Lytechinus pictus: one gene and its partner. The protein of the gene in region 1 interacts with the protein of each later gene in a pairwise test. Links are inferred from orthologs where the notes say so. Each region holds a gene or a part of one and is shown in the gene's direction. Other genes may lie near its edges.

Region 1 (7,425 bases):
TCAAATTTGTCTGGACCACTCATCTGTCTGACTTTATTACAAGAAATGTGACCATAAAAGTAAAAAGGTACATGTACACATTGCAGTATAAATACTAAATAAAAATGCTGTACAAATAAGAAGTTTGATGCACAGTATTTAAAAACCAAACAAAAATGATAACAATAATAATATGTAAATAGAGGACTCTGCCTTATTCAAATTTGTCTGGACCACTCATCTGTCTGACTTTATTACAAGAAATGTGACTATTAAAGTAAAAAGGTACATGTACACATTTAAAAAAAAATCACGTTGTTTAAAGCCTGTCACTCTAACAACAAGTTGTTTAAACTTTTTTGTAATTGTTTAAACAGTCCTTTAAACAGTTCTTTAAAAAGTTTAAACAGTTGTTTGAAAAGTTTAAACAGTAGTTGTTAGAGTGACGGGCTTAATTAAACAACGTGCTTAAAATTTTAAACCGCGTTTTTACATTGTATGTATATTATATGTACATACATATTCCACATGATTTGCAGATCATGGTCTGAAAAATTAACTTGGCTCTGAATTAATGATGGGAGGTCAACTCATGCACATTAACTTTATTCTAACAAATGATCAAGTCCACATGGCCTCTTTTTAGTTTAGTTTTTACAATTCAGTTTACATCAAATTTTGTTTGAATTTGTTTGAATTTCTAAACTTGGCCATATACATATGTACATCTTATAATGTGAACTATACTGGTATCTTTTCATGTTATAAGCCTATGTTCAATGAGGTAAAAAGAACTACCGTACAGTGTTAACATCTGGTATTGATTATGGCACTTAACTTATCGTGAGGCTCAAGCGTGGTTAGATTGCCTAGACTATCAAGTCCACGAGTGTCTTCAGTGTACAAACTCAGTACCGCCTGTTGAAGTGGTTGCAAAATACCCCCCTCCCCCTCCCTGAGTGCCCTCTTTCCCTCGTTGCCCCCACCCCCTGCCCCCTATCGGATCTTGGGAACAGGAACTTCAAGTTCCTCCCGAAGTTGCGATCTAATCAGACTTTGGCTAGGTCGCTCATCGTGTGTGTAATAATGAAGTGTCGGCACAGTGAAAGTGAGAGTGAGGTAGTTTATAGGCCATACAGGCTCATCGACTATTTTTCATAAGGACGAGCGGAACTCGCTGCAAAATTCATTACTTATAGACACTCCTTCCAGGCTATATATGTACTTGACGAGACAACTGATAAATTTTTCATGTACATGTAGTGCCTACAGATTCTGGCTATTACATTACCGTTACTTTGCGTTTGGTTTTTAATGATGTGCACTTGCATGTATCTTGCTATTCCCTTTGCTAGCCAGGATCTGAAGATTCTTGCCTTAAAACAGAGCTGTGAAAGGCTTGGATTAACAGTTTTATTAAGCTCTCTGGATTTGTGAGTATAGTGCCATTTCTCATCAAACAATACTAATAGCACGGAAATGGAACTTTGTCTGGATGTACATTGTAGAGACTAGAATTCCCCATCGCTCGTTTCCAGGAAATTGGAATATTGGACTTACACTTATACCAGGATTTGTGTTAAAGTATCTTTGTGTGAAGTGCTTGATGAGCGATAGAGATATTGGATTAGCATGTGTTAATAGGATCTCCCAAGGATGGTTGATTAGTATTTTCATCAAGGGATAATGTTTAACTTTAACAACGGCAAGTATTATTACATGTAATTTCGTAAGATACAAAAGAGAAAATTTGAAAGGAGCGTACACTGTAAAGGCAAGAATTATTGAGGTAAAATGATTCCAAGTATTCAGGAGCACATTTATATAGTGGATTATGAGTATACATGTAGATGATAATGATTAATGGAAACCTCAATACTACTGTGTTTAATGGACATTACTCATTAGGAAGTTTCAATGCTCCAAGACATTCTCAGTTTACAAATTTCAAAATGCAAAATGGTATTGATAAAATGTTGACTATTTGAAGAACGAAATCAAATTAATCATTTACACAGAATCCGTGTAAAATATATATATTTTTAAACTAAGTGTATTAGCGGAGGCACTGAAAGATATTGATCCTTAAGTGAAAAAAATTGATTTCATTCTTTTTTGTGCTAGTGAGACTGATATAGAGCAAAATTATTCTTGTATGGATTTAGAGTTCATTGAATGTTGGCATTATACTTGCATCCCTCATGTTTATAAAAAAAAGAACTCTATTGCCATTCCATCATTGCACATGATCGCGTAGGGTGAGCTTAATAGGGGCTTGAAAGTCTGCCGACAAGGCTAGCGTTAATCTCGAGCTGCGGCGATGATTCATCGCAGGGCGGGTTCGACTCACACAAACTAGTTCTGCAAATTATGTAACGAGGAATTATTATTTTTGGCTCCGTGATTAGCCGCGGATCAATTACGTTGGAGGCCTATTTTCAGTCTGGCACATACATGTGTAATCTCCCTGTATTATAAAAGTAAAGTTCAAATTTTGATGTAATGCTGTACATGTACGGTCATATGGAGCAGAGCAGATGTACATGTATGACCAAGGAGTTACATGTACTGTATGACTGGAGGCCTATATGCATTGCAGTCAGTGTCAAGACTTGTTGCCATGTATTCTTTTTGCTTTATACTGGTATTACATGTAACTTGGGGGGGGGGGGGATATATACATGTAGGTTATTGTGGAATTTGTATGAGAACAAATGGGAGAGAGGGTCATTTTGTTGAGCTGTGACAAAATGAATCACCTTGCTTTATGCTCCACTGTTGGTACATGTACTTGGTCGATGGCATATGTATAGTGTACAGCATTTATCCAGTGGGACTCTAGATTCCCAAATTCCAGTACATTAATTAAAGCTGAAAAGAAATGTTAGACGTACAAGTAAACACTAAAAACACAAACATTGCACAAATTCATGTACATGTGCATGTACATTTCCAAAATACTGTAGTTTGACATGAAACAAACATCCAGTGTAATAAACAGAGTGGGTGCTATTGATTGTAACTGAAATCTTCAAGTACAGTACTCCCTTTTAATATGCAGTTGATTACTTTTCATGATTACTCAAATCTGTGAAATAAACTTCCTGCTGACATTAAATGCATGTACATGTATAGTACAGTATACTGTAGGCCTAGCCTATATTTTAATTTGGAAGACTTCCCTCCAAATAAAGCATGCTTCAGTACATTACATTTCCATAATTCTTCTAGTTTTTATATTTTTATTCTCTATGAATGTTTTGTACTGATCAATACATACATGTACATATAGTGATCAATGCATATATCATACATGTGTAAATGTATGTTTGTGTGTGTATTGTGATCAATACACTCTGAGCACACATTGTGTAGCTTCGACTCATTTTAACATTCTATTGGTGTAATCCAAATATGATTAATCCAGTCCACGATCGATTCGAAGATGGTGATGGAATGAATAATAGATGATTTATGAATTATTTTATACTTTGAAATGCCAAGAACAAAAGAGATACAGTGTTGAATTTATTAATTGATTATGGGTTGAAAAGTGTGAACCCATTTTGGTTCAATCAAAATGTGTTGCAGTCCATATGAAAGTAAAATGAAGGATTGGCGTTCATACATGTACAAGAGAGAAAAGGGAGAGAAAGAGAGAGCGGGGGGCGATGGGAATGGGGTTTTGTGTAAAAACAGGAGAAAAGAAAAAAAAATTCATTAAGAGGTATGGCAGAAGGGGCAAACACAATGGAGAAGAATTTGCAGAATTAGTGAACTATGAATGTACAATGTAATGAATTCATTGATTACTACAAAAATAGACTGGTACTTGGAACAACAATTTGGTTATTACATGTAGAAAAAATTACTACATTACAGTTCCTGAAAACCAGGATCCATTTTTTTTCCTTTTCCTCCCTTCCCAAAAATTTGGTTATCTGAAAAAAAGGAAAACAGCTTGTAGATTACATGTACATGTAAACTGCACACGTGACCTTATCAATTTTTTTTCAGTGCATACATGTATTTGAATGCTCTTTATAAAAGCATGTCCATGTATCCCCTGTCCCGAAAGCTCAATATCGACATCATGTACTAGAATTCGATAATGATTATTTTTGTTTTCAATCAGATATCGTGGTTTCTGTTGCTATGAACATATTGGTACTTGATTTTTTTTATGATAAAAGCTCAACCAAGAAACTATTACATGCACATGTAAGTCCTACATGTACATGAATATTTCAAATAAGAATAAATAAGTCAATCCTTATTCAAAACAATCATGTGTCCCGGATATCTTGCAATAAGTGCAGTAAAAAATGTGTAATCATAGTCCAAAGACCGATTTCATGGGATCTTTGATAATGCAAAGCCGAAAGGATATATACAATGTATACAAGGCAAATAATTTGAAGAGATCGTAGATGGTATTAATGTGTTTCTCTATCTTTATTACAGAGATGACGGATGAGGAGGCTGTGTTGGTAGTCGCTAAATGGGACTACGACTCCAAGCAAGAAGAAGAGCTCAGCATCAAACGGAACGAGAAACTCAAGCTGATCGACGATTCCCGATCATGGTGGAGGGTGGAGAAACAGAATGGCAAATGTGGCTATGTCCCTTCGAACTATGTGAAGCGAGACAAACTCGGCCTCGTGGAGAGAATCCGGAAGGGGATCTCTGCAAAGCGTACTGTACAGAAACCGGCATCGCGTCCGATCTCCCCGCCCCACAGCGAAAGCCCACATCCACACCCGGCCCAAACCGGAGGCGAAATGCCATTCTCACAACTCGCAAGGGTCATGTACCACTATAAAGCCGCACAAGGCGACGAACTCAACCTGGTCAAAGGTGAGCAAGTGAACGTTCTGGAGAAGTCCGGGGACGGATGGTGGCGAGGAGAGTGCAATGGACAGAGTGGGTGGTTCCCCTCAAATTATGTGAGCGAGGAGGACACCAATATGCCAAATAGTCACGGTTCCAGCACGAGTTCAAAAGGTGACGACAACTCCATCCCAGATGACTTTGTGTTGGGTGTTACAACTCTGTATGCCTTCAAGGCAAGGACTGAAGAAGAATTAAATTTTGAAAACGGCGAGTCGCTGGACATTATATCGAATCCCTCCGACGATCAGGACTGGTGGAGAGCACGCAACAAGAAAGGTAATACAGGACTAGTTCCGAGCAACTATGTGAAGGTTGTAGAGAATGCGGACCCTGTGTGCCCAACAAATTTTTTTATTGAGGATGCTGTTCCGAAACCCATTGATTTGCCGCAGCACGACAACAACTTTGCTCCGCCCTCTGATAGATTTTACGATAGGGATTGGTTCCATGGAAGAATTACCAGAGGGGATTCAGAGAAGATTCTGAGCTGTCCTGGAGAAAGTGGATTATTCCTCATACGAGAGAGTGAAACAATGGTAAGAACAGGCTACCCTAAAGAAGTGGTTATTTTAATGTCTAAACTGGGTGCGCTCCAAGTTCACTTGGGCACCATACCTTGATAAATACATGCTAGGGCCATTTAATCTCAATGGACTTTGGTATTTATCATGTTATATATTTCTTCAGAAGTTTTAAAGTTGATGTACATGTTTGAGATATATAAGATACATCAACCCTTAATGTCTTTTTGGTTCAGTGCAAAATTTTTAGGACTTTGGTTTGGTTTAGCAATGTAATCTCAAGATTCTATATTATCTCTCAATACAATGTCTCAAGGGATAATCTGCACATTATTAAAGCAAAATTTCAACCTTAGCACTGCCTTAAATCTAATTATCAACAAACAATCATGAAATCAATAAAACTTTTAATTATGAATATAAAACATTCTAAATATTGGTTTAATCATCAGTATCATAGTATGATGTAGGAAGTAGTTGAGAAGGTTGAAATCAAATGATTCCTTGGAAAAACGAAATAAGAACAATTATTATCTTTTATTCATTTTCGCAGCCTGGTGACTTTGCTGTGTCTGTGAAGGCTCCAGATCGAGTGAAGCATTTCAAAGTGACGCGGTCAGATAAGAAGTTCTGTATCGGACAGCGGAAGTTTGAGTCATTAGATGACCTCGTAGACCACTACAAACGCTCACCCATATTCAGCTCAGACGATGGCGAACTCAAGCTGTATTTAACACGGCCGAATCAGAGAAATTAATGTCAAGGGTGATTTCTAATGGACGCTGAAAATACCCCAGCATGAACAGAAGAAAAACTGCCTGGGTGTGCATTAATATCTTTTATTCGCCTGTGAGGGATTACATTTCTTTATTGAGTGAGGAAAGAAAGAGAGAGAGAGAGAGAGGGAGAAAGAGAGTGTGAGAGTACAGTAAAGAATGAATAAACTCTGAGAATGAACTGCATAGGTCCCAACTTGGAGCCTTGTGGGACTCACCGTGCTATGTTGATATACATGTACCAAAGTGAGATTCCAATGTACATGCACATGTGTTTTCAAAGAAACCACATGAAGAATGCTTGAGATGTACATGTAGCTCTTGGACTGTTAGTTATTGACCAGCAAGAGCCTCCTCATTTAGGACATTGTGCTATATGAATCATGATAGGATGAGCTTCATACACAGGCTTTGTGATAGCTGCAAGACTCAACAGACTAGTGAATGAAGTGCTGTTGGGGATCATCGAGCATTAAGAAAAAAAGCATTAATGTCAGTTTTATTTCAGACCTTCAAAGAAACTTATGGAAACCTTTTGTCTACTTTCCAAGTGTTGCTTTTGTCCAAGATCTTCCCCCTAATATTGTTAACTTTCTGGTTTGAATTTAACAAAGTACTTGTACGTAATTGTGTAATCCTACTGAGTAGAAGTGTCCTTTTCTCCTGTTAGTACACTTCACCTTTTCTCAAAGCCATAGAGGTTTTCGTTGTAATGCACCAACATGTACGAACTGGTTTAGTTGGAAAGAGAATGGCCCAAGTGATAACAAATTGACTACATTCTTCCAAAAATTGCATTCACTGCAGACTGCACACGGAAAAGTATTGGTATTGGACTACACAAAAATTATCGGTTGAACAATTGCGGCAATTATTTGTTGTGATTTAGAAACCAAGAACATTGGAAGAGGAATATCCCTTTTCACGATATTCTTTGGAAATAAAATGAAAAGAATTCAATAGCTACATGTAGCATTGATGATAATTTCAATCTTGTTCACAACTTTCACTTATTTCTAATGTTAGCCATTTTGTTGTACAATCCCTCTCCCTCTCTCTTTGTTAATTCACTGTCTTCTCCTCGAAGTTTGGTCTTTAGTGAAACTAAGGTATACATGTACTAATGTTGAGTATTACAATTGCTTACACTCTATGGCAGAACCTGTATGGTCTATACAAGAAGAACAGATTCCATTACCCATCTCAATAGTGACTGATCAATACATAGACAAGTGTGCTATTAAAGTGTCCCAACT
Region 2 (7,193 bases), on another chromosome or scaffold:
GAAAGAGGAAGAAAATAAAATATTATTCAAAACAAAAAAAATTATTAATAGAGGTCATCATGTGCAGAGAGTTGTTGACTGTGTCATCACGATGGGCACTTCAGGCTGAACAAATGTTTTTACATAACTTATATTAAAAGGTTTGAATAGCACAATTGTTATTTACAAACAAGGAAAACAAAGTCATTTGTCAAATTAGTAAGGATGAAATACAATTTGGAAACGATGAAATGAGTTTGAATTCAATAAAATTGAATATAAAAAAAGCTTACAAGTGCATCAAATGACTACGGTAGTGGAAAAAATGATGGTAGAGAATACTTGACTTCTACATGTATTACTGCTAATGATGATGATGGTGGTGATGATGATAGTGATAATAATAATGATAATGATAAGCAATAATAATGATAATAATAATAATAATAATAATAATCATAATGATAATAATAATTATAATAATAATAATTATAATAATAATAATAATAATAATAATAATATAATAATAATAATAATACTTATAATAACAATAACAACAATAACAATAATAAATAATTAATGACTGTCCATCGCATGGTGCACAGGCATTCCAAGAAATAAATATTCCTGCAAGGTACTAACTAGTCTAGATTCTAGACGTCGGTGCATGTACTTGTTATTTCTCTCCCCTTGCTTCATTCTCCCCTGCGCGCCATCCCCAGTGATCGCGCTATCCCCAGTGATCGCGCTATCCCCTCTTTCATCATGAGGGTAGGAAATTGTGGGGCTGTTTTCATTTCGGGCGTAGAGGTCGAGGATTGTGTTATTGATCTACTGGAAAGCAGAACTGGGGTCCGTTGCGGAAAGAGTTGCGTTTGAATGCAAGTAAAAAAAAATCAATCGCAAGTCCCAAATGCGCGCTGTTGATTGGTTGAAAATCAAGTTACGCATGAATTTTAGAGTTGCGATTGATTGCAACTCTTTCTGCAACGGGCCCCAGTCCTAACAAAGGACTAGCAAGGTACCCAAACGTAGATTGAGCACTGCGTAATGTTTATTTTTTGCTGGAGATGATTTGAACCCATGACAAGTATGCTTCTCTTTGCGTTCAAAGAACATTGAACAAATTTCCTGAAGAAAAAAATTATGACATTCATGGATTTCCATATTGAGATTGGATCAATCATAACTCTTTGTGAGACAGGGCCCTGGTCTCCAGCTGGCTCTCGACCTGAACTCGACCCATCGTCCTCGTGACTCAGCGTTAACTAGATACTTGACTACTTCCTAGATCTTGTCATATTGTCTGCTCTTCAATTTGTGCATTGACACCCATTTGAATAAGCAGTATTTGGTATTTTGCCTGTATGAAAGCAAAGTGCCTGTAATATTCCAGAAATTGGATTTCAAAGTTATTCCACTACGATTGCACTGTTTGCAGTTTCAAAGCAAAGTGGGTATATTACATACTGTAACTTGTTAGGCATTTTTGTGTGAAGCAAGAAGATTTTTATGAACTGTTTCTGGCCAGCTTGTAAACTTCATGTACAGTACTTGTAGTCTGCAGGCACATACTGTATCCTGATTGAAACTTTGATCACCAGTTGGGTCTTCACACAAGACTAGTTAACACATAAAAAAACGTGCTGTTTCAATTTCCCCTTTTACTCAAGTGAAGGGTTTGGACAGCAGACTACATACTGATACATGGTACATAAACTACAAAAAATGAGATATATCATTACTGAGCATGTCAGGGGCGGATCCAGGATTTTCCAAGGGGGGGGGGGGCACATTTTTCCGAGGAATAATTTGACAAGCAAAAAAAAAAGAAAAAACTTTTTAACCAAAAAATAAGGAGATTTTGTTTCAGAAAAAAATTGGACAAGCAAAAAAAAAGGTTTTAAACCAAAAATCAAGGAGATTTCATCCAAGAAAATTTTAATTTTGCTTCTCAAATGGGGGGGGGGGGGGGCACAGGCCGGCTGTGCCCCCCTGGATCCACCAGTGGAGCAGGTGTTAATGCGTATAAAGGAAGAAAAACATGTAGTTGTGTTAATCTGACAAAATTTCCTTTAGTTTTGACTGGGGCTGAAAAGTAAAGGTGTCTGATTGTTACTATTGTAAATGTCCCTCAAATCAGGCTTTGTCAGATAAAAAGAAGTCATTGTCAAACATTTAGTGTATCAAAACAGCACCTGGACTCTGGACAAACAACATTTTTGCAAATTTTTGTCAGCTCCGCAACCTAGGACGATATTCTGTTTCTGTTGATGGTAACTCCAGTAGGAACTGGGCAGGACAGCATTTTGCTGGTAAACGCCAAGCTGGTACTGTATAAGCTGTAATTTTCGCGGGGGTTTTATTTTCGCGGATTGCCGATAGGCCGCGAATTTAAAATATTGACACACTTCTTAGTCAGTGCCAATGTCCCCAACAGCAAAGCTTTGCTATTGAAAACATACTGTGTATTGAGAAAGTGGAGATATGCACCTCTATATGTACAAAAAATAAGGCTTAGAAAGTACAGTTAGTGATTCAAAAAGTTAGCTAGAATTTCCCTTTTTTTAATTTCTCAAACAAAATCAGAGCCTAAACTATTTACTAACATTATTTTATCAATATATATACACTCACTGTAATATTAAAATGTATTTTCCATGAAATAATTTGATTTTATTGTCATCTGATTGACTCTATACACACGTATTGGCAGCTATTTGCATACTCATTAATATTCATAAGTCACATGAAGATAGAGGTGAAGATTCTGTTCACAAAATTCCACATTTTTTCACTTTTACCAACCTTTTGAAAAATTAATAGAACAAAACACAAATTCTAAAGATTGCTTAACCCTATAAATTACAGATCAAACTGTGGCATGATGAATTTTCAGATCTAAAGGTAAAAAAATTGAAATTTAAACCACCTTTTTCCACAGTTTGTAACTGTTTTTACAGGGACATACTTTTGTAGAAAAGACACATCAGCACAGGTACTTTGAAGAGTAGTGATTTGCACTAGTTTTACTTCTTTTAAATGCTGTGGAAATGTTTACTACATCTTCCAATCGCGAATTTAACAACCCGCGATTCGCGAAAAATTCTGTACACGAAAATAACGGCTTCTACAGTATATAACCAATTACATGTACCTAGGAAAGCTTTTACGTGTAGGTTAATCAGAGTGGCTGACGTTATAGACGACGGATATCACTCTAAGGCCTTTTTATCAAACCGGAGACGATGGCAGAGTTGGGATTCAAGCTCACAACCAAGCGATTTTGAGTCCAATACTGTAACCACTGGACCACACGACCCGATATTGCTGTTCTGGTTCACTAATTTCGCCAAAGACCTTCCAGCTGTTCATTGTCTCATCTGTCCCACTACTTGAGGAATATAGCCGCATCAAAATTTTAGAAATTATAACCCGTTCTGTCCTAAAACTAGTTAAGTAGTGAAAATGTGTAGGCCTAATGAGAACAGGCGAAACGGTCTTGGAAGCGATCTTCCAAACCGAATGGAAAACCACCTCGGGATGTAGTGTTCAAGATCTCTTTGCATCATTAAACTGCTTGTAGTGTAAATGTGAGGACACAACCGTTCTTTGGGATGGGAAGCGAGCTTCGCACATGTGGTGTGTACAGTAGAATGCCTACACTGCGGTTTCAAATTTTGCGCGAAACTGAGAACGTACCCATTACATCAAGATGAAAACCACTTTCAGGTGATTTAAAGGGAATGCTAGCAAAGCCATCTTCCAAACTGGTCTCCTGAACCGGTTTCTGGTAAACTACATGTACATTTTAGGATTGTAATGAGAACGGTGTCTTGGTCCCATACTCCATGGGCCCGTTGCATAAAACTTTTGCATAAAAAATTCTGGCAATTTTTTGGCCAGAGTTTTTTAATGTGTAATTTTCAATGGCATAATTTTGTTTGCCAGCGTTTTGGTTTATAATAATAATAGTGTATATTTGTAGAGCGCGCACACCGTCAGTAGACGCTCATTTGCCAGACTTTTTTTTTATGGCAAAAGTTTTATGCAACGGGCCCCATGTCTGGCCCCTCTATCTTTTTTAGCTCGTTATGCTACATGTAGTAACTTTCACCACCTTATTTCCTTGACTCAAGTTCAAATGGGAAGAGCCCACTTTGAAGGGAATATGTAGTTCTCTCAATGTGTGACAGTTTAATGTAGACTTCTGCGGATGAGTCATAAACATGGGAGACTGTCTTTGAGGAAAAGCGATTGTCGCTTCTCTGGGAAGCCGAACTGCTTTTAGCCACAGTGACATCATAAGTGAAGGGAAGGCTCTAATCGCGGGATGACTGAGTTCCTTGATTGTTATACATGTGTACTGGACATGGCTTTATATAGAGCTCTCAACTGTACACTGTTAAACATTAACAGCTGTATGAGTTTTTCAAGTCCTCTGCATTGCTCTATATTTGTGACGTGACGTGGGCAGCATTAGAACAAGAATCGTGTGGTCTTGCAAAGTATCCTTGAATGAAGAACTTGCAACATCATCCGCATGTACGCTATTGTGAATCTGAGAGTGATACATGTTTTTCAGGAACTTCTAGAGATATTTTATTTTTTCAGAATTGGAGATGAACATATTGGAGAATAATAGCGAGTAACCTTTACTAATTTGCAAATGTGTCTGAGAGTTATAAAAGAAACTTCAATTTGTTTTTCTCAGAATTGAAGATGCAGGAACTTTTGCTATTATGAGTGATATATCAGGAATTAAGGTTTTTATTTCTCAGAATTGGAGTATCTGCTATTGTAGGTCTGAAACTTTGAAAGGAAGATTTGAGGAACTACCATAGAGGATTTCCCCTCAGAATTGGAGATTCAATACTTCACTTTGTATGATACTAAATAAATAAAAAAAGAACAAAAAAAATAAGTCCAATGTGTTCGAGGGATGTTTCTATAAAAGGAATAATCAAATTCACTTGAGGATGGCATTATTTGGCTGAGTTCTTCACATCCTTTTCTGGCTGGTTCTCAGAAGTTGTGTACCTGATACTGTAGGCCTACATCCTTCCTTGTGTGGGATTCCATACAATGTGTTCTGATCAATTTGGCCATTGACTCCCCTCCCTACATGTACACATCCTACATTGTTTGTTGCTGACATTGTTGATTTCGTATGTAAATGTACATGTACATGCTGTGAGCCCAAGGTTGTAATCAACATCTATTGTACATTTGTGAATTGAAGTGAACATTTCCTTGGAAAGGGACAAATACAATTATGGACTACATGTTTGCTGAATTTTGGTAATCGCAAGTTGGAAAACACTTAAACAAGTTTTAAAAAGTGGAATAGTGTGTACTATAATTCTTTCACCATGATGAAAAAGGTAAGGTCAAGTGCAATTAAAGTTCTTATTTCACTTTTTTTTAATTTGACCAATTTCATTAGTTTTTTTTGCAATGACAACATAATGTTATCTTTAATTTTCTTGGATTCTTTTGGGTTCAGTTTGTCCCAGAATACCACAACAGTTGTGTAGATTTTAACTTTAAAATGCCAAGTCTATCTCAACTCCTTTTAACTTTTACAAGGTTCAAGGGAGTTAAATGCCCTGATATTTTTTCTCCATAATTGGATGTGATATTTTTTTAGAAAGTTTATGGCATTTCTTTCAAGGCTTTGCTCAGTTCACAAAGTTTTTGTGCCCCACACCTGCAAATGAGGCACTAGATGTGTTTCTGTGCGTAATTGGCATTGTCGTAGCTTATGAATTGAATTAACATTTGCACATACATGTATTGCCCGTGTTTATGGGTAACTGTTTAGTGTTTTGTTGCACTTGACAAAGTTTTTCTTAAAAGTTCATTAGATTTTGTGGTGGAATTTCACCTGTTATTCCATTTGATTTTCTAAGTTTATTCAAATCCTCTTTATTGGGGTAGTGTGGCCCTTTAAAAACAAGTTAAATTTGTAATTGTGCACATGAAAGGGAACTATTTAGATCTGCCTTGTGTCTACAATGCATTGTCCAATGCAGGATACTGCCTTTGTTCAAGGAGAAATGATTTATCAGTTTCCTTCCTTTCAAATCTTGCCAAGTACGAGGCATCAATGCATGCATGGTCTGATGCCATTAATATATAATCCCGAGTCGAATCTCGAGTAATAGCAGGATAATTCGTAAATAGTGCGCTATTTTGCAAGTAATCCTATCAAAGTTAGAGATTAATCCAGCGAACTACATCATATCGCGATGATTGCGATTTTTCAAATCGGGATAATTTGCCGGATCAGAAATAGAGCGGTTGTTTGAAAACTCTGGCTGGTGCAGACCGCCCCATGTACCACTTAAGCCCTAATCCTCCTAAAATTTCTCATAATATTCCCTTCATTTAACAACTTTTCTTCATGGCTCATTACTTTTATCGTTAACAAAGTGGCTTGTGACAACAAGTGTAATAGCCAGAACGAAAGAAGACAGAAGGGAAAAAAACTGAAATACTGTACACATTTGTGCTTTATTCGTCCAAGGGTAAATTAATATTTACTCTGTATGCATGGTGTGTAATAATTCTCAGTTGCGTCCATGCGTCCAGACAATTGGTCATGGCGATTAGGTGCATGTGAGAAATGATGCTTACAAAAACATAGAATACAGATGTACATGTAGACGTACACATACTACATGTATCTATACATTTAAATGTAAATGCAAGTAAACAAGTATCAAACAGTTATTTCATCAGAAAGTCTTTATTTAAAATCAAGGTCAATATAGGCCTACTTGTTGATCTGGTACATTGAAATAAACTGATCTTTGTGAATCATGAAATCTTCGCTCAAAACCTATAATTCTGATGATCACTATAAACACAGAAAGGGATATCAGGCAGTGTACTAATATTGCTTGAAAAAATATCCGACATTTGAATTTTTGAGGGAATTCTGTGCTTCACTATATTTCTCAGCAATTACACATTTTCTTCCAGAGTAATTTGGCACATATTTTTTACAAACACTTGGGTGGTCATTTTATTGGATTCTGTTAAATAATTAAAACTGATTTTGAGATCATTACCACAACTGGTATTATATCTTTAATTATGTTTTTTAATTTTTCATTTGTTTATTTATTCATTCATCAATTTGTTATTTTATTGTATTTTCATTTTAATATATATCTAATTCATTATCACGCCTATAATGTAATAATAAA

Evidence for each region.
Region 2: the proteins of cytoplasmic protein NCK2-like (region 1) and sorting nexin-33-like interact in a two-hybrid assay, tested with the Drosophila melanogaster proteins (2 studies listed by BioGRID). The link is inferred for Lytechinus pictus from reciprocal best matches to the Drosophila melanogaster genes dock and SH3PX1.

What each region holds. Positions count from the first base shown.
Region 1 is NC_087260.1:16,429,023-16,436,447, forward strand, and holds the start of cytoplasmic protein NCK2-like, read left to right. Parts: upstream 1-4,411; 5' UTR 4,412-4,418; coding exon 4,419-5,408; intron 5,409-5,946; coding exon 5,947-6,150; 3' UTR 6,151-7,425. UniProt on the Drosophila melanogaster protein: Adapter protein that links cell surface receptor tyrosine phosphorylation to downstream signaling pathways and effectors, many of which are involved in regulation of the actin cytoskeleton.
Region 2 is NC_087250.1:9,496,753-9,503,945, reverse strand, and holds the start of sorting nexin-33-like, read left to right. Parts: upstream 1-4,178; 5' UTR 4,179-5,351; coding exon 5,352-5,363; intron 5,364-7,193.